Linked DNA regions of Elephas maximus indicus. The protein of the gene in region 1 purifies or fractionates together with the protein of each later gene. This does not show direct contact. Links are inferred from orthologs where the notes say so. Each region holds a gene or a part of one and is shown in the gene's direction. Other genes may lie near its edges.

What was found.
Region 2: the proteins of SLC12A6 (region 1) and STK39 purify together in Homo sapiens (affinity purification with mass spectrometry; 3 studies listed by BioGRID and IntAct, with this or other methods). This does not show direct contact. The link is inferred for Elephas maximus indicus from reciprocal best matches to the Homo sapiens genes SLC12A6 and STK39.
Region 3: the proteins of SLC12A6 (region 1) and RAB6B purify together in Homo sapiens (affinity purification with mass spectrometry; 4 studies listed by BioGRID and IntAct, with this or other methods). This does not show direct contact. The link is inferred for Elephas maximus indicus from reciprocal best matches to the Homo sapiens genes SLC12A6 and RAB6B.

What each region holds. Positions count from the first base shown.
Region 1 is NC_064828.1:23,952,455-23,962,528, reverse strand, and holds the start of SLC12A6 (solute carrier family 12 member 6), read left to right. Parts: upstream 1-5,799; 5' UTR 5,800-10,074.
Region 2 is NC_064824.1:66,433,844-66,444,016, reverse strand, and holds the start of STK39 (STE20/SPS1-related proline-alanine-rich protein kinase), read left to right. Parts: upstream 1-5,900; 5' UTR 5,901-6,001; coding exon 6,002-6,185; intron 6,186-10,173. UniProt on the Homo sapiens protein: Effector serine/threonine-protein kinase component of the WNK-SPAK/OSR1 kinase cascade, which is involved in various processes, such as ion transport, response to hypertonic stress and blood pressure.
Region 3 is NC_064844.1:45,849,528-45,859,965, forward strand, and holds the start of RAB6B (ras-related protein Rab-6B), read left to right. Parts: upstream 1-6,004; 5' UTR 6,005-6,333; coding exon 6,334-6,403; intron 6,404-10,438. UniProt on the Homo sapiens protein: The small GTPases Rab are key regulators of intracellular membrane trafficking, from the formation of transport vesicles to their fusion with membranes. Rabs cycle between active GTP-bound and inactive GDP-bound states.

The sequences.
Region 1 (10,074 bases):
GCTTATAGTGTTGACTGTAAGCCAATTGCAATCTAGTAATTTTTTTTATTGTTCTTCAGATGAAGGTTTATAGAACAAACTAGTTTCTTATCAGTTAGTACACATATTGTTTTATAACATTGGTTAACAGCCACACGACATGTCAACACTCTCCCTTCTCAACCTCGTTACCAGCTTTCCTGTCCCCTCCTGCCTTTTAGTCCTTGTCCCTGGGCTGGTGTTCCTCTTTAGTCTTCTTTTATTTAATGGGCTTGTCCAGTCTGGCTGAATGGTGAACCTCAGGAGTGATTTCATTACTGAGCTGAAAGGATGCCCGGTGGCCATGGTCTCAGGGTTTCTCCAGTCTCTGGCAGGTCAACAAGTCTGGTCTTTCTTTTTGAGTTAGAATTTTGTTCTACGTTTTTCTCCAGCTCTGTCCGGGACCCTCTATTGTGATCCCTGTCAGAGCAGTCAGTGGTGGTAGCCAGGCACCATCTAGTTGTACTGGACTCAGTCTGGTGGAGGCCGTGGTAGATGTAGTCCATTAGTCCTTTGGGCTAATCTTTCCCTTGTGTCTTTAGTTTTCTTCATTCTCCCTTGCTCCCAAAAGGGTGAGACCAGTAGAGTATCCTACATGACCGTTCACAGGCTTTTAAGACCCCAGATGCTACTTACCAAAGTAGAACGTAGAACATTTTCTTTTTAAACTGTTATGCCAATTGAGCTATAATCTAATAATTTTTAATCTAGTTACTGAATAGTCCAGGTTCATAGTTACCAGTGGTACATCTTTGGCAGGTAATTCTTAGGTCCTGTCTTACCTAGGCTGTAATGACTTTACACTAATGAAAGAGATGGGCAGCCCTGTATATTATATTGTTACTAAAGAGATGGGTAGCAGTGTGGTGAAAACAGTAACAGTGGAAGCTGAAGGCTCTGACTACTCGAATGTTAATGCCCCCTTTAATAGTTGGGGCAGCAGCCAAAAGGGCTGAAGTATCTATCAAGTTAGCTAGCCATCAACTGCCCTACTACATTCTTTCCTCTAGTGAATTCTTGAAACTTCAGGTTCCTGAAGAAGTAGCTGGGAAAGGTGGTGGCATGTTATGCTCTCGGGCTTCTTTCTGGACTTAAGCTGTATTGTACTTATTGTCCTTGTTTTATATTGACTTTTATTATATAATTAGTATATTTTATTGACTATATGATTTATTTATTATACAATTAATTGAATACCAAGACTGAGAGCTCCGTTAGGGCAGGAATGATGTTTTGTTCATCATTGCATTCCTCTTTCCTGGCATAAAAGGGACAGTCAAATATATATTGAACAAATGCATTATTCTTTCAACCTCATCAGAGTATGAGATTTTCCTGGTGCTTTAACTTGTAGAACTCTTTGCCTTCCTTATTCTACAATATTATAAATCCTCTACAAAGCAGTGTCTTTTACATATTTACTATCTTTCAGTTGTTTGTCGCAAAGTTGATTATATATTTACCATTGATAGCATTTTATAAAAGCCTGTTTTCATAGACAATAGTTGGTCTCCAAACTAATTGACACATTCATTTAATTATTTCAATAACTGCCATGCAGTAAGGCAAAATTTAGAATTTGTGGTCATTTTATTATTTTTAAACTAATGTTTACCGTCCTAGTATGAGAGAGAAAAAAATGTCTATTGAATATAGTAAATAAGGAAAATGTATATACATTTTCTAGTTGAGAAAGAGGGTCAGTATACTTTTCAGGCCCCAGCTAAAAGCAGTAACTCTAAATTTAAGTAGTAAACTCAGTGTTTTCTTCTAAAATATTTACAGCAGTCTCTAACACAGAGATATTCAGAGTGTAGTATGGCAGACGTTGCAGGCCCATGAACTATTTATTACCTGTTTCTGAGGAGATAAGTTCAGAAATGGGGAGTTTTTAGAAACGTGCATAGCAGTTTTATGGAGCAATTTCATGTCTGTTTAATAATAAAAATATATATATACCACATTTTGTTTATTATCCATTTGTGGTTAGTTTTTTAACTTGTATTTAGTTCCTGGCCAGTGGTTAACAATTATTCGATAAGGATATCCATCCTAAATATTTTAAAGTAATAATTCACTACATTAAAAGCAACTACCTAGAAGTAATTTCTTCCTTCTTTACTATTTCTTTAAAAACACCATTACAGGCAGTCCCTGGATTACTAACAACATCTGTACCTAAATCTATCTAAGTCAAATATGTACCTAAGTCAGAACAGTTAATAGTATCCAACGTCAGTCAGATGTTTGTCTTAGTATATAGTGTACCTTTCTACGCATAAAAAAAAAATTAAAGAAACACTTCCAGATACACTAAAACATCTTTAACATAAAAATACAGTAATAATAACAATGTTTGATGCGTGTTGAAAAGTAGTGCCCATTTGTTATTACGAACCGTTGTACATACCTTGGATTTTCAGTATAACAGGCCTTCTGGGGGTTGGCCTGTAACTACGGGTTGTAGGTAAATTGGATGTTCGTAATCCAGGGACTGCCTGTAGTAACAAATACTGTGGGCATGCAAGTCTTAATTGGTTATAATTTCAGAGGTTTCCGCTAGTATGGCTAGATCTCGATAGTGAATGAGCTTTGAATGGTGTCTTTAAACTACAGGCATTGGATTGAGTTTAGGAGAGGTCTTTATTATTTTCAGTCTGTTCCCAACTCAGAATTATTTGCTCTTTCCTTAGTATTCCTGTTGAACTTTTTCTATGTATGTCTCTCTCATAAGGTACTTACGTAAATTCTCATCGTGTGTGTGTGTGTGTGTGTGTGTGTGTGATAGTAATATCCGTGGAAATTCGGTGAAAAAGTATAAACAGATAAGATGAAATAAGGCTGCATTTTGTATGCTCGTGGAATGTGTTCTACTTTATACTTTTCCAGTTTTTTATTAATATACTAGTACCTTTGATAAAGCTTTAATTCCGTTTTTTAAAAAAGAATACTGTTGACTTTATTACTAAAACCTTAACATCATGTATACAGGATACTCTCGAGGATGACATTCGGTACATCTCAAGCATTCAAAATACATGCGGTTTTTAATTCCAGGAATTTCAACTACTGTCCATTTATTATAGAAGTTTTCTTGCACCATGGATCCATTTTTAGCATTAATGGTTATTAGGTCTTTTTTAAGACTGATTTTAGCTATGAAATCGTGTGGCTCTAGATTATTTGTATAGGTTTAAATTGCATGATGCAGTTTGCAGTTTCTGAAAACCAAGAGAAAATACATACGACTTGCTTTAAATGTGGCAGTGATTTTTCGTGCTATAGTATAACTGTGTTACAATCTGATAGAGAATGTTTATGTTCAAAATTTCGCACTGACTTTCCCTTAGTTGTTTCAGTCCTTTCACGAAATCTAACTTGTCTTTTTCCTGTTTTAATAAATTGGTTGAATAAGACAAAATGCTGGTTACCATAAGTTATGAGCTGTGATTAAAAATATATAATTGGTTAATGTAGCATAGTAGGTCGTACTTTCAAAATACTACCCAAAATAGACCCGTTCTTCTGAAAAATGGACATACTAACTTTTTTTTTAACAAACATATTAGAGTCACAAATTATTTCACTGAAACTAGTTGGTAAAACCAATATAATATTTATAATATTTGGCCTAATGTATAATAAAAAATAATTTTTTTTTATAAAACACTGAGTAATACCATTTGTAAATGCCCCCTTTGTCCTCATCTGCTCTTATATCTTACTACTTAAAAATAATTTTTTTTACTGTAAAATTTCAACTCTGTCCCCACTCATTTTAAACAGCATTCAAGATTAGACTCCAAGTACAAGAAAAACATTTATGCAACCCCCCAAATTTCATATAAAATGGAATTTGACTCTTAAGTGATTTATTTTATTCTCAAATCTAAAAATCTTTAGGTATTTGGACTCAAGTTCATTGTATTTTTTCCCAGTGTTTTGTTATGAAAAATTTCAAATGTATAGAAAACTTGGAAAAATTGTATAGTGAACACCCATATCTTCACTCCTAGATTCTGTAGTTAATATTTTGCTGCATTTGCCTTATCACATACCATCAATCCATCTAAACACTTCAATATCCATATCATTAATGTATAATATATAATGCATAATTATTTTGAGATTCATGTATGTTGTTGAATGTATCAGTCATTTGTCGCTGTTTGTTGTTGAGTAATATTCCATTGTGTGACTATACTACAGGTTTTTTAATCTATCTTATCGATGGATACCTGGGCTGTTTCCAGTTTGGAGCTGTTATGAATACAGCTACTATAAACATACTTGTTCAAAAATTTTTATGAACTTATTTTAACTTTTATTAATAAGTTTCACTGTCGCCTTTTTATTACTGAGTTGTACGATTCTTTATTTTTTTGTATATTCTAAGTACAAGTCCTTTGTCAAGTATGTGTTCATTTTCATAATGGTGTCAGTTCACTGTATTTTTTCAACACTGTATAACAAAAATTTTTAAACATACAGAAAGTTGAAAGACTTTTACAGTGAACATCCATATACCCACCATCCAGATTCTACCATAAATGTCTTATTTTAATTGTCCTGTCATGTATCTATCCATCTGTCTATCCTGTTTTTATGTATTTTAAGGTAAATTGCAGATATCAGTTCACTTTTCCCAAATACTTCAAAAAATATGTTCATTAGAATTCAGTATTTGTTTGCAGCTATTTTTATTTTGAGGTAAAATTTTCATACAATGAAATGCACACGTTTTAAGTGGACATTGGCTATTTTGACAAATATATACACCTGTGGAAACCTAAATCCTATCAAGATATAAAACATTATCATCACTGCAGAAAGTTATTTCATGTCCCTTCCCAGCTAATCTCCGCCTGCATCCCCCTAGCTGACCCACTGCTATCAAGCTGATTCTTTCTCATGGCAACCCTGTGTATTTCAGAGTAGAACTCTCAGCTGAAGCAGATCATCAGGCCTCTAGTCCATGGCATAGCTGGGTGGGTTTGAACTGCCAACCTTTAGGTTAGCAGTCAAGCTCAAACCACTTGTACCACCCAGGGGCCCTTCCATCCCTCTAGAGGCCATCTGGTGGCTCAGTGGTTAAGAGCTCAGCTGCTAACCAAAAAGTCAGCAGTTTGAACACGCTAGCAGCTCCTTAAAAACCCTATGGGGCAGTTCTACTCTGTCCATTAGGGCTGCCATGAGGTGGAATCGACTCGACAGCAATGGGCTTTTTAAGGAGTAGAAGCAACCAAAGGAGCTTTGGTGACACAGTGGTTAAGTGGTCAGCTGCTAATCAAAAGGTTGCTAGTTCAAACCCATCAGGAGAAAGGACTTGGTGATCTGCCCCCGTGAAGATTCCAGCCTAGGAAACCCTATGGGGCAGTTCTACTCTGTACTATAGCGTTGCTATGAGTCGGAACTGACTTGACAGCGCACAACAACAACAACAGGAAACCACCGTCCTGGTTTTCTTTTGTTTTTTTTGCACTATCAGTTTAGCCCATTCTAGAACCTCATTCATATCAATGGGATAATATATATAATACATTATGTACTCTTTTGTTTAAGGCATCTTTCAGTTACCATAATGTTTTTGAGGTTCATCCATGTTGCATGAAACATTAGTTTATTCCTTTTTATCCTGGAGTTGTATTTCTTTTTTTGGTCAATATTATTTCCAATTTTTAATGTGCATAAACATATTAAAAAAACCATTGCCATCAAGTTGATTTCAACTCATAGTGACATATACACAACATATTTTAAAAATGGGCTTTACAGCATATATGGTTTTATTACCTAGTTTATTGTGAACAGTTTCCCTTCTACAACGGATAAAATACTTGGCTTGTGTGGACAAAATATAAATTACCAATCTTGTTGGGGAAATTTACATACAGTTTTTTCCTTAGGACGCTTCATTCTCTTTATAATACCTTGAGGAAAAAGGGGCATGTCTTACAGAGCTTGTCTTATATCACTTTCTATAGAAGATGGAAACTTGCCCTTTAATTTAGCGTTTTAACTTGCTTCTCTAGCTACCTAATCAATCGAGTAATCAGTCTTATTTTTCCCACTCTTCTTTGTCTATTGTTTGCTCTCTCTTTTCCACCCTCTTTCCCTGGTACACACGTATTTCTATTACGCCAGCACTCATTCCCCCTCCCTCCCATTAAAGATGCTTTCTTTCCTGTTCCAAAGATACTCTTTATTGATTCTGACTGACCTCAAAACTTTATCATCAGTTCCATCTTAAGATTATCTAAAGATAGAGTTCATATGTTTAAAAGAAAACATTGATATGAACCTCTTTTTAGAGTTAGATGTATCAAGGAACAGGATTTGGACAGAATGTAGATATGGCCAACTTTTTTGAAAATGCAGCTTTTTGGGAGGGAGAGCAAAGCAGAGGATAGAAGTAGTTGGCACATTAAGGAAGTGTTAGGGATCCATTATTTAAGTGTATTCATCATTTCAAGGCAACTAGCAAGTGATCATCTGTCAGTTAACAACATTAGAGCAGCAGCCTTTACTGGCCATGAAATTTCCATGAGACCTAAACTTGTATTTCCAGGAAAAGGCAAATGTTTAGTAGTAGAACTGTGTAGAAAGGCAGATGCCAACTAGCATAAGAGTGGTGCATGCAGATGACATTAATTCTGGAGTCCTGGAAGCCATGAGGTGCTCATCTATCACATGATTATCACAACCAGGTAAAAATGTCTGAGCAAAGCACTGAAGCCAGTCATGCCAGCATTTACACATGGAACACTTCTTGGGCAGGCAGGTGTCATGGGGCGCACACCTACAATTCACTTTGCAAAAATCATGCTCACAGTTCATCCGTAGAAGTAAGGAATGCAAGCGCAAAAGAATCCCAGGGTCCAGGTTCCCCTGTTCAGACAGCAGGTCTTGTTCAGCTCTTTGCTGTCCTGGATTCCCGTGAATGACAAACTTGAACGACTGATGACGTATTGCAGGCTCCTCTTGGAACCAAGTGTTAGTATTTCTCTGTGGTGGATGTATGAGTTCATGGTGGCCCAACCCAGCAACCAATCCCAGTTCACGTGCTTTGAAAATGGTCACGATCAAAATCACACTGGAAGAGAAGCCCTCTGTCTTCAGCAGTCTGTAGCTGGTAACAGTTTAGGGATAAAAATGTTAGCATGGCTTTGACACAGTCATTGGCCAAAGCACCCAAAGGAAAACAATTTCCTGCAGTAAAAGTTGGAATTTAAAAAGAAAAAATATCCCAAATAAGAAATATGCTTTCCCCAGAAGGAGTCAGGATGTCCAAGTAAAGTGAGGTACTTGTCCCATTGTCCTGCACCTATCCTGGGTGCTGTTTCTGTATATGAGTGTATTACGATTTGCTTACTCATTCTACTGCAGATGCTCACCTGGGATATTTACAGGTTTTGGATATTATAAATAAACTGTGAACATTTTAGTACATGTCTTTTTTTGTGGACATATGTTTTCATTTTGGGGAGTAAATACCTAGGGGCGGAATTGCTGGATTGGGGAGCCCTGGTGGCTCAGTGAGTAAGAGCTTAGCTGCTAATCAAGGGGTTGGCAGTTCAAATCCACCAGCCACACTTTGGAAACCCTATGGGGCAGTTCTGCTGTGTCCTGTAGGGTCGCTATGAGTTGGAATTGACAAGACTGCAAAGGGTTTAGCTTTTTTTGAATGGGGACTGCCAGACCCATTTCCAAAGTGGCTGAGACCAAGTTACACCTTCATTGACAATGTCTGAGAGTTCCTGTTGTGCATCTTCACCAAATTTGGTGGTGGTGTCTTTATTTTAGCCACCTTGGTGGGTGTGTAGTGGTATCTCCTTGTGTTATTTCTTTGTACTTGACTATTTCTTACATCCCCTCTATTTACCACTCTCCATACACACACACACACACACACATACACACGCTGTCCAACTTTACTAGCTTTCCCCCAACTTTTTTTTATACTGCTTTAACTTTGCCTTCAATTGTTTTTGCACCTGTACTTTTGTCTACAGTTCACCCTGAGAGAGAACTGTTATAAAATTGCTGGTACCAAATTTGTGGTACCAAAGCATCAAGTGGATAAATAAGTTACCCTATCTTAGGTTAACAAGAATTCATGTTTCCTACCTCAAATTTTTTTTTTTTTTACGTCAGTGGCTTTAGAGGAAGACAAACCTAGTTTTAAAGCCTGGCTTTAACTTTTTGGTTTTGTATTTGGAGGATTTTTGTTTAGGGGGAGGAAGACAAGATAACATTGGTACTTAGGCTTATACACACAAGTTGTATACAGTTTTATAAACACAGGTCATTGTTTCTGGCCATTGACTGTAGAAGATCAGCTACAGTTCAGCTCTTTTTCTAAAATAAACATAAAAGGCAAGATCCAGCTGAAAACATCCAATTATACTAAAGTATTAATGGATTTGGAACCCAGAATATAACACTGAAATCTTTGACAGCTTGCTGGCTACTTTAAGTTCCTCTCAATAAATTAGTAGCTACCTGAGTTGTAAGTGTGGTTGTAAATATGCTCCTGATTTAGTTTCTTTCAAAGATAAAAATAGTTACAAAGACTTCTCAGGTGATAAACTTTTTTTTCTTTCCTGTATGGTGGTGGTGTTAGGTGCCATCAAGTTGGTTCCAACTCATAGTGATCCCACACACAACAGAAAGAAACACTGCCTGGTCCTGTACCATCCTCATAATCGTTACTCATTGTTGCAGCCACTGGTCCAGTCCGTCTCATTGTCTTCATCTTTTTTGCTGACCTTCTGCTTTACCAAGCATGTTGTCCTCCAGGGAATGGTCCCTCCTGATAACATGTCCAAAGTAAGCAAGATGAAGTCTCATGGCCCTCACTTTGAAGGAGCATTGTAGCTGTACTTCTTCTAAGACAGATTTGTTCATTCTTCTGGCAGTCCATGGTATATTCAGTATTCTTCGGCATCAGTATTCAAGTGGATCAGTTCTTCTTTAGTCTTCCTTATTCATTGTCCAGCTTTCACATGAATCTGAGGCAATTGCAAATACCATGGCTTGTGTCAGGCGTACCTTAGTCCTCAAGGTGACATCTTTGCTTTTTAACACTTTAAAGAGGCCTTTTGCACCAGATTTCCCCGACATAATATGTCATTTGATTTCTTGACTGCTGCTTCCATGGGCATTGATTGTAGATCCAAGTAAAATGAAATCCTTGACAACTTCAGTGTTATCTCTGTTTATCATGATATTGCTTATTGGTCCAGTTGTGAGTTTTTTTTTTAATGTTAAGGTATAAACCTCACTGAAGGCTGTGTAATCTTTGATTTTCATTGGTAAGTGCTTCAAGTCCTCTTCACTTTGAGTAAGCAAGGTTGTGTTATCTGCATATCATAGGTTGTTAATGAGTCTTCCTCCAGTCCTCATGCTTCTTTCTTCTTCGTATGGTCCAGCTTCTTGGATTATTTGCTCATCATATAGATTAAATTAAGTACGGTGAAAGGATGCAACCCTGATGCACAACCTTCCTCATTTTAAACCTGCATTATCCCCTTGTTCTGTTTTAATAACTGCCTCTCAGTCTATGTACAGGTTCTAATGAGCACAATTAAGTGTCCTGGAATTCTTATTCTTCTCAGTGTTATCTGTGCTTTGTTATGATACACACAAATTCCTTTGCAGTCAGTAAGACACAAGTAAACATCTTTTTGTTATTCCCTGCTTTCAGCCAAGATCCATCTGACGTCAGCAATAATATCCCTTGTCCCACTTCCTCTTCTGAATTTGGCTTAAATTTCTAGCAGTTCCCTGTCAGTGTGCTGCTGCAACCGTTTTTGAATTATCTTCAGCATAATTTTACTTGCATGTGAGATTAATGGTATTGTTGGATGATTTCCACATTCTATTGGATCACCTTTCCTTGTAGTGAGCAGGAATATGGATCTCTTCCAGTCGGTTGGCCAGGTAGCTGTCTTCCAAATTTCTTGGCATAGACGAGTGTTTCCAGCATTGCGTCTGTTTGTTGAAACATCTCAATTGGTATTCTGTCAATTCATGGAGCCTTGTTTTTCACGGATG
Region 2 (10,173 bases), on another chromosome or scaffold:
AAGAAATATATATGTCACACAGATTTACCATGACGCCTTCTGGTATTTTAGCAAAGGGCAAACCAAAGAAATCTATTGCCATTAAGTTGATTCTGACTCATAGTGACCCTACAGGACAAGATGGAACTACCCTACACGGTAATGCTTATGGGAGCAGGCTGCCACAACTCTCTCCCGAAGAGCAGCTGGTGGGTTCAAGCTGCCAACTTTTTGGTTAGCAGCCAAGGACTTAACCACTGCACCACCAGGGCTTCTTTAGCAAAAGGCAACCCTTGCTAAATACAGAGGTCTGTGTGACACCATGGTTAAGGGTCTGGCTGCTAACCAAAAGGCTGGCAGTTTGCATCTAGCAGCTGTTCCTTGGAAACCCTACAGGACAGCTCTACTCTGCCCTATAGGGTCACTATGAGTTGGGATAGACTCCATAAAACTGTTTTTTTTTTTTTACCCTATGGGTAGAGATGGTAGAACTGACTTTCAGTGAGTCCTCTTTTGATCAGAATTTAAATCATGTTCAGAAGCATCCAAGATTAATGAAAGGCAGTAACTATCACCAGAGCAATTTTGTCTGTAATATAAAATGCAATAGAAAGTCAGTTTAAAGAGCTCGTAGGAAAATAAATGAAAACACATATCTGGAAGTTATAGTTCTTATAAGTTTAATTCCTTAATTCATATGTGATGAATTTAAAAAGCAGTGTCCTCACAATCATTCAGCTTAAAATAGATTTAAAGCTCTCTTTCAGTTTGTAGCTGGGAAATAGGCACTAATGACACCTAACACTAAATTGTGTTAAACCTAATAAAATTGAATCACACTGGTTCCTGACTCTGGATAATAGATAGTGTCGGCTGTGATAGTGGAAAAGCACATGACACCTCTATCATTATGCTATGTGTGAGATGGCTTGGTCTCCAGGGTTGGACAGGATTGTATATTCTTGATTACATTCATCAGATGGATATTTGACATTTCTGCTGAGAATTCATTCAGATATTGAATGTTTGCAATTAAAAAAAAAAATTAAAAGGAAGTTGTAGTCCAGGGTTTGTAACAGTGGTGGTTCCAAAAAAAAAAAAAAGGAGTGACTAATTTCCATCAGTGCTCACTGCCAAAGCCTGTCCAGATAATCATACAGCCTAAGAAGTGAATGCTGCCGGCTGGCTGAAGAACAAGTCCCCTAATCCTGCCCTCCCTTGCGACTGCCACCTGTGACCCCTTCAGTCAGAAACCCTGGAACCATCCCTGTACTACCACAGTGTGTGCTATGGGTTAGGCATGTTACACACACCAGCACCTGTAATCCTTACACAATCCTACAATTTCGGGATGGTTGTCCCTACTTTTAAAAAACAGCGGCTCAGAGTGTTTAGGTCACCAGCTAGTAAGTGCAGAGCCGGGATTTAAATCCAGCTATGGCTGACTTGGAGACCCTGATTGCGTAGTGGTTAAGTGCTAGGGCTGCTAACCAAAGGGTGCTCCTTGGAAACTCTATGGGGCAGTTCTACTCTGTCCTATAGGGTCATTATGAGTCGCAATGGAATCGACGGCAGTGGGTTTGTATGGCTGACTTAAGCCCATGCTCTTTCCACTATGCTTTGCCATCTCTCTGCTTCAAAAAGATGGTCAATTCTTATATTTTAAAAAAAGCAACCTTTAAAATCAAAATCCAGCTCTTCCACAACTTTTCACTCAAAGAGAGGTGCTAGATCCGTGGGTATGAGAGGGTTGGTGATAGCAAGTGCGGTGACAGATTCTCTTGATACCCATGAATATTTGGCCATTTCCCACCATGCAACGGCAGTGACTTTTGCAGTAATTATAGGTTAGCCACGGGAGAAAGATCATCTGTCAATCAAAAGGTCCCCATTCCTTCAACAGATATATTTCTAAAAAGCTTTACAAATTGCATTTGAGTACATTTACTCAATTCACTGGACCAATTTGACTTTCAAAGGATTCACATGTGTCATAGAGTTCCATTGTTTTAACTCCTTAAATAATTCTCAAGTCTACTCCCTCATCTTTATCCTCAACGTCATGGCTTCATTCAAAAGCACATTCCTCTAACTTGACTACTGCAATGGCTTCCAAACAGGGCTCTCCGCCTCCAGTTTCCTCCCATCTAATCTGCCCTTGAAATTGCTGATTCATTTCAATGATTACAAACATGTTTTATACCTTTTGAAAATGTTATATTCATGCAACAAATATTACCGAGTGCTACTCTTTCCCGTTGTTATTCCAGGCACTGAGATACAACAGTGAACAAACTGAACCAAAATTCCTGCCCTCAGAAGCTTACATTCTGTAAAGGCTGTTACTGTCAACATTATTTATCTTTGTTCTGTGCATTTTGTTACAAATTTTGGCAAATAACAATGATGATGATATTGATGATGGCTTTTATTTTATTGAGTATCTACTATGTGTCAGACATTACGCTCAGCCATTCGTACATAAATTATGTTAAAACAATCCAAGAGCAAGCTATTATTAAGTTGATTTTGTGAATAAAGGAATTGAGATTCAAAGAGTTTAAGTAACAAGTTCAAAGTTAGAGGTTAAAACACATTTTGGAAACAAGATTTGAATCCAGCACTGTCTTTCTCCAATACCTGGGACACAACCCAACACATCCTCCCTTAGGTGTTCAAAGGGTTTATGAATAAATGACTGAGTCCTACAGAAGCTCTTTGCACGGCAAATAATCACTGCTAAAATCTGTTTCTAAAATGACAATTTTGTGTATTCAGTTTACCAAAAGCAGTGGTCTGGCCCTCCCCTGCCCCCGACAGTTGGCACTATCTGCAGACATTTAGGAAACCCTGGTGGCGTAGTGGTTAAGTGCTATGTTTACTAACCAAAAGGTTGGCAGCTCATATCCACCAGGCACTCCTTGGAAAGCTGCGGGGCAGTTCTACTCTGCCCTAAACGGTCGCTAAGAGTTAGTATTGACGGCAATGGGTTTTGTTTTTGGTTTGGGGACATATTGGATTGTCATGACTGGGAATGGAGGGTGCTACTGACATCTAAGTGTGTAGAGGCCAAGGGTGCTGCTAAAGCTCTTACAATGCCCAGGACATACCTCCACAACAAAGAATTATTTGGCACAAAATATCAATGTGCTGAAGTTGAAGAACCCTGGCATAATGATGGCAGTTGTAAACAATTAAAAAAATTTTAGATCCTTATTTTTCGTTTCTACGCTTTAAAGTCTGTGAGACTGAGTGTCTTTGTATACCAGAATAAACCTTATTTATATTTTAAAATCCTCCCTCCCCCTTTCAGTTTAAACTTAGTAATGGATTCTCAAGGAAAATTGCCTATCAGTTGAATACTTTAAATACATGTATTTCTAGATTTTAAATAAAACTTTACTCAATTGTTTATGGAAACGTTAACTTAGAAATTGAATCTAATGCTTTCATGTAATTTAAAAAATATAATTCATGCTCTGTTCTTCATGTATAAATACATCAAAGAACTCTGAGAGTGGACAATCTTCTTTAAACTGATTTACTGGTGGAAGTGACTGGTCTGCACTGAATCATCTGTTTGGAAGGAGGACAGCTGGGGATAGAGGTCTGGTCCGAGACTCTGGAATAGTTGTTGCTTTTTTGTGTGTGTGATTTAAATCCATGCTATTGATCTTAACAGCATCATGTTTTCCTATTAGTTAGTTGCAGCTGAGTTCCTTCTGACTCAAGTGTACAACAGAGCAAAACGTTGCCCAGTCTTGAGACCTCGTCAAGATCGTTGGTATGCTTGAGTCCACTGCTGCAGTCACTGTGTATTTTGAGTGTCTTTCAACCTAGGGAGCTTGTCTTCCACCACTCTACTGAACAATATTTTGTTGTGATCAGTAGAGTTTTCATTGGTTAATTTTCAGAAGTAGATATCCAGGCTTTTCTTCCTAATTTGTTTTAGTCTGGAAGTTCGGCTGAAACCTGTCCACTATGGATGACCGTGCTGGTATTTGAGACATTTGTGGCATAGCTTCGACTGTCATAGAAACACCTGAGCTACCACAGTATGACAAACTGACAGACCCAAGAACTATCCTGGCCTTCACGGCCCAATTTTGTGGTTTGAGAGTCAAGTAGTAAATTCTTGTGACAAAATGGAAGTCATATTGATTTAATCGTTTTCCTTTAAAAATAGTCCTTAGCAGTTCTTTGAGGGTGGGGATGGGGCAGCAGCACTTGAAGAGGTGAATAGATGTGGCTTGGTATAGAGAACCAAACCGTACTGGTTGCCTTCAAGTTGATTCAGACTCGTAGCGACCCTATAGGACAGAGTAGAACTGCCCCATAGGGTTTCCAAGGAGTGGCTGGTAGGTTTGAGCTGGCAACTTTTTGGTTAGCAGCCACAGCTCTTAACCACTATACCACCAGGGTTTCCTGGTATACAGAGCTCCCCCTTTAAAACATCAGATGCCTAGAATTTATTTGTTTATAGTCTGTTTCTTGACAGACATTAAAATCAATAGTTTTTGTATACCCATGCATGAAAGAATGTACTTTCTTAATTCAGCATAAATTTCTGCTCAAAGACCAGAGCATAGTAATCGCTTTGTCCCGGTTGTTCCATAATGCTGTAAGATAGGAAGTCTACTTATCTTCAGTTTATATCAAAGTTTAGAGTGTACAATTAACTTTTCTCCATAACAAATCCCTGATTTTCTTCTGAATAACCTTTCCAAGAAAAATTTAAGCATACACTCAGGAGATACAGTCTTATAATGTTTCTTGGAGTCTTCATTATATACGCTTATAATTCTTACCCATTTCTTCGGTAGTCGTTTTCATGAGAACCATACAACATAATATTGGCCAAATGACCAACATGACCATTGGTTCACGGTTTCCTTTCGGATTAAAGCCAGGCTGGTGCATCCTGGTCATCTTCACTATATATAGCACACAGAGAGCCATTCGAGAAAATGTTAAATATGACACCTATAATTAGAAAGACCTATGGTTAAACAGCAATTTTAAGCATGAGGTAATTTTGGGGATGTCTTAAAAACAACGATTAATCCAAACTTTTCAACGCAGTTTATACAGCAGTAAATTCTTTTTTTCCACCAACCATGCTCTTTAAAAGAAATGCCTGCTATCTGGCCTTAGTGTCTTAATGGGTTAATTTGGCAGGTCATTAAAGGTACAGAATTTCAAAGCAAGAGTTCACGTCTCTCCCACATTTCTTATTCTAACTTCACAGGCCCTTACAACACCTTCCTGGGACCCAACAGGCTTGAACAAATGTAAAGAGTCAGTGAACACCCAGGGGCCTAAGGAATCCTGTTGCACGTACTAAGAAAAAGTAGAAAGACTGCGATTAGATTAGGCAAGGTGGGAATGGGATATTGGCAGGTAAAAACACCGGAAAGTTACAACTTGGGTTATTTTTTAACTGGCTTCCTACAAACAAAGCCAGTGTGGGTGTCTCATTCGCTACCTTGTAAATGAACTTCAGGTGTTCTTTAGTTGGGGGGAGCCTTCTGAATCTGAGAACCTGGCGACGGTTCAACGACTCCGCCCTCGGGGTCCCCAGGGGGCGTCTTCTGGAGAGACTGATTGGGGCGAAGGCACAGAGAAAGCAGGGAGTGGAGGGCGAGCGACGCCGGCCCCGAAAATAAACACAAGACAGCCTTGCTCTCTTTTGGTGGAAACTTCCCCGGCCGCGACCGGAGCGGGAGAGGGCGGCGGGGCGGCGGTTCCCCTCGCAGAGACAGAGAACAGTGCGCACGAGTCTCGGGGCGCGCGGCGAGCGCGGCGGCCGCCGCCTCCCCCCCTCCCCGCCTCCGCCTGCGCTGCCTCCTCCCTCCGCCCGGCGCGGCCTCCCTCGCTCCCTCCCCTCGTGGCTGGCTCCGGCGGCGGCGGCGGGCGGGGAGGGCGTGCGCCGGCCGAGAGGTGTCGGCGACAAGGGAAGGGAAGTTTCAAGTGGAAGGTCGTCCGCCGGCCGACGCGTCCTCCGGTCTCCTCCGGCAGCATCATGGCGGAGCCGAGCGGCTCTCCCGTGCACGTCCAGCAGCCCCAGCAGGCGGCCCCGGTGACAGCGGCGGCCGCGACAGCAGCGCCGGCCCCGGCGGCGCCCGCGGCCCCGGTCCCGGCCCCGGCGGCGCAGGCCGTCGGCTGGCCCATCTGCAGGGACGCGTACGAGCTGCAGGAGGTTATCGGTCAGTGCAGCGGGTGCGGCGGGGCCGGCCCAGGCCGGGCGCAGAGGCCGGGCGGGAGGTGCGGCTGGGGGTGGGCGGGGGCGCGGGATGCTAGGCTCGCTTGCATGCGCGCCCCGGAGGCCGAGCGACCGGCTTCGGGGCCTACCGGCTTCAACAGTTCTCCCCCCCACCCCCAATTCATTTGTTCGTTCTCTGAGCGCTGCTGCTGCTGCAGGAGGCGGCGCGGCGGATGTGACTCGCACTGCAGACGAGCCGCATGCTGCAAACTTTTATCTCCGGGATCGCCGGGGTGGCGGAGCTGGGGACCCGGCAACGCCGCCGCATCTCCTACCACCCTGGCGCCCCGGGGTCACAGTCCTCGGTGGGGGGCCACGCGGGCAGGCAGCCGTGGGTGGGGTGGGGTTGCGGGGGCGCCGCCCTGGGCTGCCAGCGCCCCTGCGCCGCGCCTCGGGAGCCGCGTCCTGGGGGACTCTGCGGGCGCAGCCGCGCTTCTGCTCTACAAGCTTCGCGCCTCTGCCTCTCGTCACTACCCTTTCGCCGTGGGGAACGGGGCCCTGTAGAAGCCGCGGAGGCCCGGGCTGTTTGTCGAGCCTGGGGAGGATGCTGGCCTCACTGTGTGACAGCCGCCTCTCCGCGTCCGCGTTGCAGCCCTACTCTCCATGAAGCCCTGCGCGCCGGGGTACCCGCCCTCCTCAGTGCCGGGCGCGCCGCCTGCCGCCCAGCCCGGCTGCCCGGGGAAAGCGGACTCTGCCTCTTTCCCTGCACCGGGCCGATGCTTTTCTCTGGTCCAGGGCCGAGCTGCAACCGAGAAACCTGAGTGTGTCGGTGCCTTCTAGTCGGCTCACAAAAATCGCTTTATCTTACATTTTTAAAAACCTGGGAAAGTCGAAAAGCAAGAAGCTGTGGCGTTACTTTTCCTTGGGCAGGCACGTGAAGGGCCAGGAGATTTGTGTTGACCTTTGATTTAGAACCTTCTCCGTATGGGATCTTCCTGTTTAAGAGTTGTTAAACCCACTTAGGGAAGCCCCTAGGTAAAGTGAGCCCTCAGATACTAACCTTATTGGCTCTGGGATGGGGTGCTGCTTTCCCATAATCTTAATGTTTCAGCACAGTGATGAAAAAGGAATTCAGGATATTTAACTTAAATGTCTTTTCTGCCTTGCGCTTTAAAAAATTCTTCTCCCCCCACCTTTTTAAAAATCAAAACAGATAAAAGAATTTCATTAGGTGTTTAAATTATTAGTCTTTATCACCTGCTACTGGGTGAATGGAACGTATTTTGCGTTTAAATAATAGCCTTTTCCCAAAGCTGCTTATACAATTAAATACGTAGCTCGTGATGCCACTTGAATACAGTTTAGAGTAACTGCTTACACTGAAATATATTTATGAAAACAAAGGGTGGGACAGTAATCTGGGATAAAAAAGCTGTAATAGGTATCTGTAGCTAAAATCCTTGGAAAACCTAGGCTTTTCATAACTCGGCCAAACACTCTCAAGCTATGAGTCTTCACATCACTGCCAGGATGGATTAAAAGGCTTCAAGAGCTCCTCAAAGCCTTGAGTATTCAGTGAAAACTCCTTTAACCTGGTGTATAAGCCCCTTCATCTTTCCAGCTTTATTTCCTGCCCTCAGCCTGCATCCCCTCTCCCATAGTCTGCTTACATCGGCTGTACTCAGAGTACTTTGCTATCCTCCAACACATCTGGTCTTCCGTCCCCTGCTGCCTTCGCACAGGCTATTCAGTAAGTGCCCGTCTTTGTCCAGGGAGTCTCACTCAGCTTCCAAGACCAGGATGAATATCCCTTGAGAAGCCTTACACTTCTCTCTAGGTAAAAGGCAAAGTAGTGTGGCCTCTTCTGCCCCCTTTTTTACATACCTTTTTACGTGCCATCCCGTAGTTTGTATTTACTAAACAAAATCTGAATGCTTACTATGTCACAAAGGTCCCTGGATTGCACAAATGGTTTGTGCTCCACCACTAACCTAAAGGTTGGCAGTTCAGATGCACCCAGCAGCACTGTGGAAGAAAGGCCTGGCAACCTGCCTCCACAAAGATTACAACCAAGAAAACCATATGGAGCAGCTCTACTCTGTAACGCTTGGGGTTGCCATCAGTTAGAATCAACTCATTGGTAGTGGAGTACTATGTCCCAAGCACTATGCTAGCTGCTAAAAAAGCAGTATGGAAATTAACAAAAATGGTCCCTGCCCTCAAGGATTTAATGAGTTGATTAGGAGATATCTGCAAATAATTCTGTAGGATGATGAGTAAGCACTGGGAGAGCACAAAGAAGGGAGTGATTGCTAGGAGACATAAGGAAGCAGTGAAATTTATAAGAAGAGGTCATATTAGAGCTGGATTTGAATTCTGAGTAAGAGTTTGTTAAATACTTAGTTGTGTAGACAAGCCTCATGCTGCAAACTTTTAGCTCTGGATCACCTTCCCTGACCAGCCATGAGCTCCTCCAGGGGCTTAGTCATCCCTCTGTCCTCCATATGTAGGGCTAGTCCGTAAAAGCTGAATGTACGTGTTTCCATAGAGTTTAGACCAGAGTTTATAACCAATTTACATTCTTATCTTGTTAATTTTTAGGGTTAAATTGCAGGCTTTGTCTTTTGAAAAAATTATTTTAAGTTGGCCAGTTTTCTGAACTAATGAATAAAATCTCGGTTTAATTTAAGTGATAGGATTAATCACAGGGCTTCTTTCTGCTTGCAGTAACATATCGTTAATTATGGCCGATCAATTAAAAAAAAATTTAATGGGGAAAAAAATAGAAACTTACCTGAGAAATTGTTGAGAACAGAAATAACTGCTTATTATTACCTCTACCCAGATCTCTGCACATTCACATTATAGGAAGGGCTTTCCTGCATTTTAAGTATAACTCATATTTTTCCAACTAAAAGAGATGGCCTGTGTGGAGACCAAGTTATTGAAAAATCAAATTGTGGAACGGGGTTTTGTAAAGGCTTAATGTTTATAGGGGATTACAAACCCCTTTCCATTTAGTGTTTAATGCTAGTTGAGTAATTAAGAGTGTACTTGTGGTTAAGCGCCTTTGCTTAAACACTACACGCAGAAGTTAGTAGTTTAAACGCTGAACCAGTTTGGACACGAATGCCATTTGACAGCCTCTGCCTCTACCCACCATAAGGCAGGTGTCATATGATATGATTCCGGCAGTGAGAGCCTTGACCAGCAGGAGGCTCGGATGTGCTGGAGGAGAAGGCCCAGGGAGGCATGGTGTTGTAACTTTCCAGCGTGGCACAGAGCACTTTTTCTTCATTTCCTTCTGGCAGAGGTTGGGCCTCAGGATTAGAAAAGAATATAGGTTTACTAAAATCCAAACAGAGTAGGTTCAGTTGTTTGACTTTTTCTGTTTTAGAAAAATAAACACAGGATTTTCCAAGTCTAAAAATAAAGTTTTCTCTTTGTTGTATTGTTGTTCTTGTGTTATAGATGAATGGAGAAATTGTAATGCTCCTAGGAGTAATCTGGCACAGAAATTTATGCTTGATCTGAAAATGATATAAAATCTGCCGAAGATAGCTTTGTACTTAAAATCCAAAACCAAACCCACTGCCTGTGAGTCGATTCCAACTCATAGCAACCCTATAGGACAGAGTAGAAATGCCCCATAGGTTTCCAAGGCTGTAAATCTTTACAGAAGAGGATTGCCAGGTCTTTTCTCCTGCTCGAGTGGCTGGTAGGATCAAGCCACTGACCTTTTGGTTGACAGCCAAGCACTCTAACCAATGTGCCACCAGGCCTCCTTTTTGTACTTAGAGAAGGGCTACAAGTATTCCGAAATTATTAAATTCCTTCTTTAGCTGTCAGTATCCTTAGTAGATTTCAAATATTTCTGTCTCTTCTACACGTAACTGCTCTTTAGAGGCTTTCTAACTTACTTATACTCTTCAGCTTTTTTCATCTTTGTTTGTCACACCTGTCTCACTCCCAAATTCCTTCTTTATAAGTAT
Region 3 (10,438 bases), on another chromosome or scaffold:
CCAGAAAACAGAACAAGAGGGAAAATTTCTCAGTTCATTTCGTGAAGCTAGTTATTACCCCAGGGAGGCCTGACGGTGTGGTGGTTAAGTACTCAGCTGCTGACCCAAAGGTCAGCAGTTCAAACCCACCAGCCACTTACTCCGTGGGAGAAAAATGTGGCAGTCTGCTTCCGTAGAGGTTACAGTCTTTGAAACCTATGCGGCAGTTCTACTCTGTCGTACAGGGTTTCTATCAGTTAGAATCATCTCAACAGCAGTGGGCTTTTTTAGTATTACCCTGATACCAAAACCAGAGGAAGACAGTACCAAAAAAAACAAAACTACAGGCCAATATCCCTCATGAATTTAGACGAGAAAAATTCTTAACAAAACATGAGCAAATAGAATTCAAGGGTATATAAAAAGAATTATACACAATGGCGAGGTGGAGTTTATCGCAGGTATGCAAAGCTGGTTCAATATTCCAAAATCAATCAATGTAATCTTCTTTATTAACAAGTTAAAGAAGAATAAACGCATGCTCATAAATTGATGCAGAAAAAGTATCGACAAAATTCAACACTCATAACATGATAAAAACTCTTAGAAAAATCAGAATAGAGGAGAACTTCCTCAACTGGATAAGGAGCATCTATAAAACACCTATAGTGATCATCAGACTTAATGGTTGGGGAAAGACTGAATGCTTTCCTCCTACTTTCAGGAAGAAGGCAAAGATGTCCACTCTTATTCAACATAGTGCTAGAAGTTCTAGCCAGTGTGAAAAGGTAAGAAAAGGAAATAAAAGCCATGCAGACTGGAAGAAATGAAACTGTCCCTACTTTCTGATGACTGTGTAGAAAATCCCAAGGAATCTACCAAAAATCCTGTAACTAAGAAGTGAGTTCAGCAAGGTCACAGGATATAAGATAAATGTACAAAAAAATTATTTTTGTATGCTAGCAATGAACATGCGGACACCAAAATTTAAGATGCAATATCATCTACAACTGCTCAAAAATTGAAACACATTAGTGTTAGTCTAACAAATCATGTACAGGACTCTCATGTTAAAAATTATATAACACTGATGAAAGAAATTAAAGAAGATCTCAGTAAATTGGGAGACAAACCATGTTCATGGATTGGGAGTCTTAGCATAGTAAAGATGTCAATTCTCTCCAAATTGATATACAGGCTTAACACAATTCCCACCAAATTCAGGAAGATTTTTTGTAGATATATACAAGATTATTCTAAAATGTATGTGGAAATGCCAAGAAGAACAAAGTTGAAGGAATCAATGTACATGCTTTCAAGATTTATATAGCTACAGAAATCAAGCCTGTCTGGTATTGGTGGGGCAAACGGCACACAGGCCAGTGGAAGTGAACAGAGAAACCAGAAGTAGACCCACACAAATACGCCCAACTGATTTTTGACCAACGTGCAAAAGCAGTTTAATGGAGAAAAAATAGCCTTTTCAACAAATGGTGCCAAAGCAACTGAACATCCACAGGCAAAACAGAACACCTCCACCTAACGCTTATACTTCCCACAAAAATAACTTAAAATGAATCATGAACCTAAATGTAAAATGTAAAAATAAAAAAAAAAATTAGGAAAAAAATCCTCAGGACCAAGGGCTTAGTAAAGAATTCTTAGACATGACACCAAAAGCGCAATCCATAAAAGAAAAAAAAATCAATGAATTGGACTTCATCAAAATTAAAACTTTTGCACTGCAAAAGACTCTGAAAAGAAGATGAAAAAACAAGTTACAGAGCGGGAGAAAATATTTGCAAACCACATATCAGACAAAGGACTGGTATCTAGAATATATGAAGAATTCTCAAAGCTCAACAATAAAAAAAACCAATCCAATTAGAATATGGGCAAAACACATTTCACGAAAGAGGACATACAAACGGCAAATAAGCACATATAAAGATATTATCATTAGCCTTTAAAAACCAAACCAAACCCACTGCCGTCAAGTCAATTCTGACTCATAGCAACCTGTGGAGTAGAGCTGCTCCACAGGGTTTCCAAGGAGCGGCTGGTGGGTTGAAACTGCTGACCTTTTGGTTAGCAACCAAGCTCTTAAACCACTGCGCCACCAGGGCTCCTCATTAGCTATTAGAGGAATGCAAATTCAAACCACAATGAGATATCACTACACATCTATCAGAATGGCTAACAAATAAAAATAGCGACAACACCAAATGCTGGTGAGGGTGGAGAGCTATAGGACCTGACAAGCTTCTTTGGAAAAGTTTGGCATTACCTAACAAAATTAAACATACACTTGGTTCTACTCCACGACTTATCTACTTGATACATAGCTTAGAAAAACTTTTCACGGGTGCATCAGGGAACATGTAAACGATATTCATAATGGCATTGCTTGTATTGGCAGAGACGAAACTGGATGCATTTTTCATGTGAAATCCCTGGTTTTGCTATGGTTATGTAAGATCTTATTACCAGTGGCAACTGGGTGAGGATACACTAGATCTCTTTGTACTATTTTTGCAACCTCTATGTGTGTCCAAAATTATTTCAAAATTTAAAAACTGGACATAATTTACTGCAAACGATTGCGTAAGCTGGGGTAAACGGTGGAAGACTAAACAGCAGTGAAAGTGAAAGAACTGCTACTATATGCATTAACATAATGCCCAGGAATATAATGCTAAGAAAAAAGCAAGTCATAAGAGAAAATATACAGTTTGATACCTTAAAAAAAAAACAAACCCATTGGAGTCAAGTCAATTCTGACTCATAGAGGTCCTATAGGACACAGTAGAGCTGCCCCATAGGGTTTCCAAGGAGCCACTGGTGGATTCAAACTGCCAACCTTAACCACTGCTCCACTAGGGCTCCTTGACACCTTGTATAAAGTCCAAAAGATACAAAACAAGGTATTGTTGAAGGACACATCCAAATGTGATCAAACTCCGAGAAAAGCCAGGGTTCTGCATTTCTGCCTGGGGGAGGAAGGGAAGGAGGTAGAGTAGAGGGAAATCCAAGGAAGCCTCAAAAATATTGTAACCGTTCAACTTCTCCAGCTGGATGGAGCATACATGGGCATTGTTATAGGTAGGCCTTTTTTTTTTTTTTTTAAATCACTTACATACATACTCTTACTAGGAAGCTTTACATAATTTAAAAAATGGAACAGAAAGATGCCAAAAAAAAAAAAAAAAACCCACTGCCGTGGAGTCAATTCCGACTCATGGCAGCCGAGGTGGAAGGAATTTTCTCCAGTGGGGTTGCCAAGCTGAGTGTCACAGTAGTCACATTTTCTGCTGCCCGGAGAAAGCCTGTCTGTTCTAGAGCAGGTAAAAGACAAGACCCAAAACAAAAGGAGACAAAACAGTGATAAAAGATGGAGAAGGGCCAAGGGGAGGGAAAAGGAGGCCGGAGCAAACTTGGAGTCCCTGAGGCTCCGACTGCCACAGCACAATGCCCACGTTCTGTGAGCAACATATCTGCTCCAGCTGCATGAACCAGCCCATGCCGCTGTGCATTCAGTATTTGGAGTTGGGCTTTTGTCATATGAATTGGAAGAATCATGACTGACAGATTCCCACCATGCATCCTGGCCCATAGTCATGCCATCTGGGTTGGATAAGCCCATGGGCTGACTCTGGCCTAGAGGTGCCCAGAAATGCTGGTACCCCTCCCCTCTCTCATCTACTGCCACACCACCTTGTGTGTGAAGGATCAGAGAAGGTACACAACATGCCAAAGCTTACCTAAAAGACAGTGCTCTTTCTGTCTCTCCTCAGCAGCCTTGTCTTGTTGGGGGGCGGTGGTTGGTTTAGTGGCAGAATTCTTGCCTTCTATACTGGGGACCCAGATTCAGTTCCTGGTCAGTGCACCTTATGCTCACCCACCATCTGTCTGTCAGTGGAGGCTCACTAGTCGCTATGACGCTGAACAGGTTTCAGCAGAGCTTCCAGACTAAGACAGGCTAGGAGATCTACTTCTAAACTTCAGCCAGTGAAAACCCTGTGGATCACAATGGTCCAGTTCACAGCTGATCATGAGGACCTGGGCAGGATTTTGTTCCATTGTGCACAGAGTCATCTCAGCTGCCTTGTCTTACCACAGATGATTTTCTCAGGACAGGATGAGAGGGTATAGGAAGACAGATGGTGCGTGTCAGAGGAACGCTGCCTGGTTGACTGACTTGACCAATAATTCCCTTGGCCCTTCTGTGGAGGTACCACGGGATGGACTGTGACTTGGGAGTCTCACCTCCTTCTACAGCTTCATTCAGCCTCATGCTGGACATGATCTCCTGAGACAGCAGGATACCCAGAACAGAGGTTTGGGAGTTTGGAGAGTTACCCTGAGCCTGATGCTGGGCACCAAAACCAAAAAACCAAACCCGTTGCCATCTAGTCAATTCCTACTCATAGTGACTCTATAGGACAGAGTAGAACTGCCCGATAGGGTTTCCAATGATTTGAACTACCGACCTTTTGGTTAGCAGCCAAACCTTAACCACTGTGCTGCCAGGGATCCGACGCCAGGCACAGCGGGGCAGATATCGTAGGGTGATGACCTACAAACCCTGGGGCTCCAAACCAAAGGTGACTATGAGAAATAGAACAGTTGTTCTGATTCGGGTTTTAGACATTCTGTCCGGCATTCAACAATTATTTATTAAGCTCTTACTGTGTGCAAGCTCTAAGCTAATTCCTTGGCATCTACAACTGGAGACTCAACCACTGCTTTTGTGGAACTTGCTGTCTAAGTTTTTAATTAGCAACGAGAGACTCTAGGTGAACAAAACAAGGAGATAATCCCAAGCATGCCCTGTAAATCAAATGTCCCCTCCACAGGTGAGAGCTTGCTTCTCACTTCAATCTCAGTTCCTCTCTCTCCCTTCCTGCACACACACACAAACTTGGTCCCAGACATCTGAATTACAATCCCAAATAAATGTTTACTAAACAGTCATAAAAGAGACTGCAAGGTGGCAGGACAATAAGAGATGGCTTTGTGAAACCTTAATTAACCAGAATGCCTTGTGATCAGGCTATCTTAGGAGCTCTTCCAGCCTTTGGCATCTAATCTTCTCACCCATTCACACCCACTTCGTGTGCCTGCAATGGGCCAAACAAATATAAAGGCGACCGGGAGGTCTCAGTCCTGTCCTCCAGGAGCTCATTGCCCAGATGCACATAACTGCCAGGGCAGGAGTGGCATTGTCAGGCTGGTGGACCCAGGGTCAAAAAATCCAGACCACTGTCCTGGAGATGGCCATGCTGTCATTTGGGGCGTCATTGCTCCTTTTTTCCCGTTGGGCAAGAGTTCGGATTTAGGACAAAATTATTCCTAAGAATGATTCATTTGAGGTAGGCACCCCCAATATTACCGCCTCTTCTCTCACTGTTCAGATCTGCGGGGACACCTATGGACCCCACGAAGCCACCGAGATGAAGGGTCTGGGCCTAGACAATGAAGACGGGCTGGAGGCTACAGGGGGCGACAGTCGAGCCCCATCTGAACCAGGTACAGTCGAGCCCCATCGAGCCCCATCTGAACCAGGTACGTCTTCCCACTCCAAACGTCTACCACATCCTGGCTCTCAAGCCACCTCCTTTCCTTTCCGCCCTCTCGGACCGGCTGCGCCGTGCATCGATGTCTCGGGAGGTGGAGGAGGGGAATGACATCTGGGTTTAAAAGACCAGAAACAAACGTCCCCTGACAATTTCATGTCATTTTTTCTGGGTTCGAAAAAGAATTAGAATGGAGAAGACAGGCGTAGAGACAGCAAGAGACGGTCCGATCTGGGGGACTCTCGCAGACGCTGCGAGACGGCTCTCTCCCGCTCGGCTGCCGGCTCCGGGTGGGCGGGTGTAAGCCCCCCGGCCCCGCAGCGCAGCGGGCCCCGCATGACATCAGAGGCTGGGGAGCGCGCAGAGCGCAGGCGCCGGTGGAGGGAGGCAGGAGGAGGGCAGACTCGCACCGCTCGGGAGAGCGCTCCTCCGCCCCGCGCGCCGTCTCTGCGCCCGGCTCCACCCGCGCCCCGCTGTCCGCGCTGCGCCTCGGGCGTCCAGTGCGCGCCCCTCGCACCGCAGCAAGCGCAGTCCTCGGCAGCCCAGCCCCAGCGTCCCTCCTCCTCTTCCTGCGCTGCCGCCGCCGCAGCTGCCGCCGGACACGCAGCCGCAGCCCCGGCCCGGGACTCAGCTGGGGAGTCAGGGACGCGCGCAGCCAGCCCTTCCCCCTCCGGCTCCCGCACCGCCGGCCGCCTCCCCTCGCCTTCCTCCTTTCCTCCCTGCTTCTGCGCTTCTTCCTCCTCCTCCTCCTCCTCGCCCGGCCTCGGCTGCCAGCATCATGTCCGCAGGGGGAGATTTTGGGAACCCACTGAGAAAATTCAAGTTGGTGTTCCTGGGGGAGCAGAGCGGTAAGTACCCGGCTTATTCTCTTGGCTTGGCGCCGACTCGACCCCTGCTACGAAATCATCCATCCCTCGGGGACCCCCACCCCCGCCCCCGGCCCTGGCGGAGAGGGATGGAGAGGGGGAGATCGGGGCCGGCTCGGGCGGAGCCGGCTGGGGAAGAGCCAAGGATGGGGACGGAGGAGACCCTAGGGCCGTAGAGGTGGGGGTGAGGGTGGGGTCTGCGGTGGGGGGCTAGCGGCGCGCCGCGGGGTGTGAGTGAGTGCAGGTGCGGCGCGGCGGGGAGGCCGGAGGGCGGCGGCTCGCTCGGGGGCGCCGGCCAAGGCGTGAAAGCGCCGGGCTCGCTGGCTGGCTCGCACTGCGGCACCGGCTGCGGGCGACAGCGCAGGTGGCAGGGCGCGGGCGGGGATGCGGGGAGACAGACGCCCCTCTTTGGAGAACGGGGCGGGGTCGGGTCTGGCCGCCCCCTACCTGGCTGGCGGGAGGGGTTCCCTGCAGACCCTGCCCGGAACCGTGCGTTAGGGCACGTCCCGGCCCTGGGGCCAGACGGCCGCAGCGGGTGGGGCGAGGAAAGGCAGACACTTGCCTCCTGTGGAAAGAGCAGACACAGGCTATGGGGGAAGAGGGCGCCTACCTCCCCAGACTTACATCCGACTGGGCACAGAAGGTTCTAGACCCGCAGCCCTTCACCGCCGTGTGTTAGCCTCTTTTGGGCTCAGGGGTCTGGGCGATAGAATGAGGGTTCCCAATGCGCGGCAGATATGGGGGATGGTACAGAGGTGCCTCACACAGAGAGGCTGTGAAGCCTGGTGCTGGGCAGAGAAAGGCCCAGGACACGCCCTGCTTGGCTTCCCAGCACCCCTTTGGAGATGGGAGATCATCAGTGGATTCTGCCCACCCCCACCGCCCAGCTCACCGCCATTCTTGGGGGAGGGGAGGTCAGCGTGGCAGCGGTCCAGAGCCGGGAGGAGTGGTGGGGGAAGAGGAACAGGGAACAAACCGCTTCACTGCTGCCCAGCAGCCTCCCCGGGGTAAGCAGCTTCTCCGAAACCCGGGTTGGTCCGAAGGTGGGAAGACCAGATTGATGATCGTGGACCCTGCTGACACCTGTAGGAAGGAGTGGCTCCCAGAGCATCCCTCCGAAAGCCTGTCATCTGGGGCTGCAGGGAGACAAGCTGGGACCTGACTAGCTGGACTTTGGGAGGAGGCAGGCCCTGGAGGGCAGAACCCTCAGCTCTAGCGCTGCACTGCAGTCCAGTTAACCTGGTTTGGTGCAGGTCTGTACAAAAGGACCAAGAGAAGGGCAACTTTGGAAGGATCTAGTGGTCTCAGGGAACAGTGCTACTGAGCTGTCTGTGCATGTGTGTTGTGGAGGTTGCCATCTGGCCATCTCCTGTCTGCTCAATGCTTGGGACTGAGAAAGCTGTTAGAAGGTATACCAGAAGCAGGTATTTCAGAACAAGGTCAACTCAGCCATCCAGTCCTGTGTCCTGGCTCTTCCCTGTGCCTAGAAGGGGTTTCAGTGGTCTTCTTCACCTCCAAAATAAATAAATAAATAAAACCAAACTCATTGCTATTGAGTCAATTCTGACTCATTGCGACCCTATAGGACTGGATAGAGCTGCGCCGCAGTTTCCAAGGAGCTGCTGGTGAATTCAAACTGCGAAACTTTTGGTTAGCCGAGCCCTTAAACACTGTGCCACCAGAGTATTTCTTCACCTCCAGACCCAGTAACCGCTAGACTTTACTGGGCCTGAAGCCTTGGGAGAGAAATCTGCCTGGATCAGGCATCCTGGGGGTTGAATTCCTAGCTGTTTCACTGTGAGCAAATTTGGAGACACTCTTCATGCCTCAGTTGCTTGAGGGCAGTTCTCTTACTGCTTCATGTTTTCCTAGTGTCTCTCAAAAGCACCTGGAGCCTGTAGGTTCTCAAGAAACGTTTATGTCAAGTCTGAACAAGTTTCAGCAAAGTACCAGGAGTTTGATGAGGAAAATGTTTCTGGTCAGTTTGAGTGAAAACCCTGGGCTCCCTCAGAACCTCTGATGGGCTCTGTAAACCCCCCATTGCACCTAAAATTACAAAAATGAAAGTCAGAGACCTAAGCGATGGAGCCCACCACCTCCACCACATGTGTTGATGGGAAGCTTGAGCCCCAGGGAGCGGGGTGGGCCTGCCCAGAGTCCCATCGTGGGTTGTTAACAATCCTGGAGCTGGAACCCGTGTCTCCTATCCACAGTGCACCGGTTTTCACTGGCATGTCATTGAGAAATGAGATGACCTTGAACTGGGGAAGCCAAGAATTGGGGAGCCTTCCTGAGAGAAGGTGGAACGTTGCCACCATCTGCACAGGCTGTGGCTGGGTTGGACGAGCTGGTGGGAATGCTGGACTAATTGGTTGGGGGCCAGGGTTTATGGGCCCTTGGAACACAGTCATGAGGGATTAGAGGCACCGCCAACAATGAGTCTGGCTACTGGCCACCCCGGTCCCTTCTGGCAGGGAGCCCCAGGGCCCTGAAAAACCTCCTCCTACTGTTTGTGTCATTAGTGGATTGTTTACCTTAGGTTTCACAGAACGTTGCGGGTCTCTGGGTTAGGTAGGGGACATGCCCATCCTGAGCCTGGTGGGATGGGGGGATCTCCACTGCAGCTACTGCTTCCTTCTGCACTCCAAAACCATCTTGCTTACATACAGCTTTGTGTGTGTTGGTCCTTTGTGCCAGCATCCTCTGTAGCCTGTGAGGTTAAAGGAACCCCCTGCCATCTGACTGTCACCCCCACCCTGGTTGTCACTCCCTGTGTGACCTTAGAGGTCCCTCATCTTTAGTACATCGGGGACTTGGGCCAACTGAGCTCGGCAGAACTTTTTTGAGCAGCATAGGCTTGGCTATATGAGCGGAGAGCGGCCAGGGGAAGGCACTGGAAGGATACAGTCTTCTCTTGCTTCCCGTGCGTGGCATAGTGGCAGCATCAGTCTAGGCCATTGGCCTAAGGCAGCTGGAGGGTACTTTGGCCAGATAATCCCCAGGTGGACATCAGGCCTTCAGAGGTACCAGGGAACTGGTTTGAGTGGGAAGCCCTTGAGGAGCCACTCTGAAAAGAACACCTCCAGCCTGTGAGCAAGCGCCCCTTCCCAGCAGCAGCTTGGCTGCTGTCTCCTGGCCCATGGAATACAGGCTGGCTGAGTGTCAGCCTGGCATGGATGGAATTGTGAGGAGGGTGCTGTTTGACCCAGGGTAGGAGATATCCTGGCATTACGGAGGCTGTGCAATCCTGCTAGTGGTCAGATGGCTGGCTGTGCCAGCAGGGCACACTCTTGTGCTGATGGCAGTGATGGCGACATGGGGGACATGTGTTCCAGTCCCCGCCTGGGGCCCTGGGTGGCATCCAGAGAAGACAAGCCTGAGCAGGTGTCTGGGGAAGGAGAGTGGGCCTGTGAGACACACATCTTCCTCCTGAATTCTGCAGTCCACCGTGACTTTGGTTTGTGTGGGGCTTGAAGTTTCCCTGAGTGCATCTGAGTGTGTGGTGGTGGGAGGGAGGCGAAGGGTGTGTCTACTGCACCCCCGTCTGTTCTGATCTCCCCTTCCCTGAGACTCCTCCAGCCGAAGCTTGGGGATGGAATGGACACAGGAAAGTCCTGCCTGTTTTCCCAAGCCAGTGCCAGCCAGCCAGATTCTCCCTCTGACCAGCTGCCTTCCCTGTCCTGGCCCAGCAGGAGTTCCCCTCTACATAGAGCACAGTGGGAACCATGTGCCCTGGAGTTGTGCAGTGCAGGGACCCTGTAGGCAGCTGCCCTTTGGTTGTTCAGTCATTGGTTCATTCATCCCTTTCTCCCTTCCTCCATCATCTGTTCATTTATGTAATCAGATCTTTGAGTGCACCGCTGCCCTCATAGAACTTATGGCCCACGGGCAACACGGATGTTTACACACATAATTACAGTAAAGGTCTATAAGAGTCATGACGGGAGCAGGGAGGAGACAGGCTGCTTTTAGGAGCATAGAGCTGGGGCGTGTGACCCAGCTTTGAGGTGTTAGAGG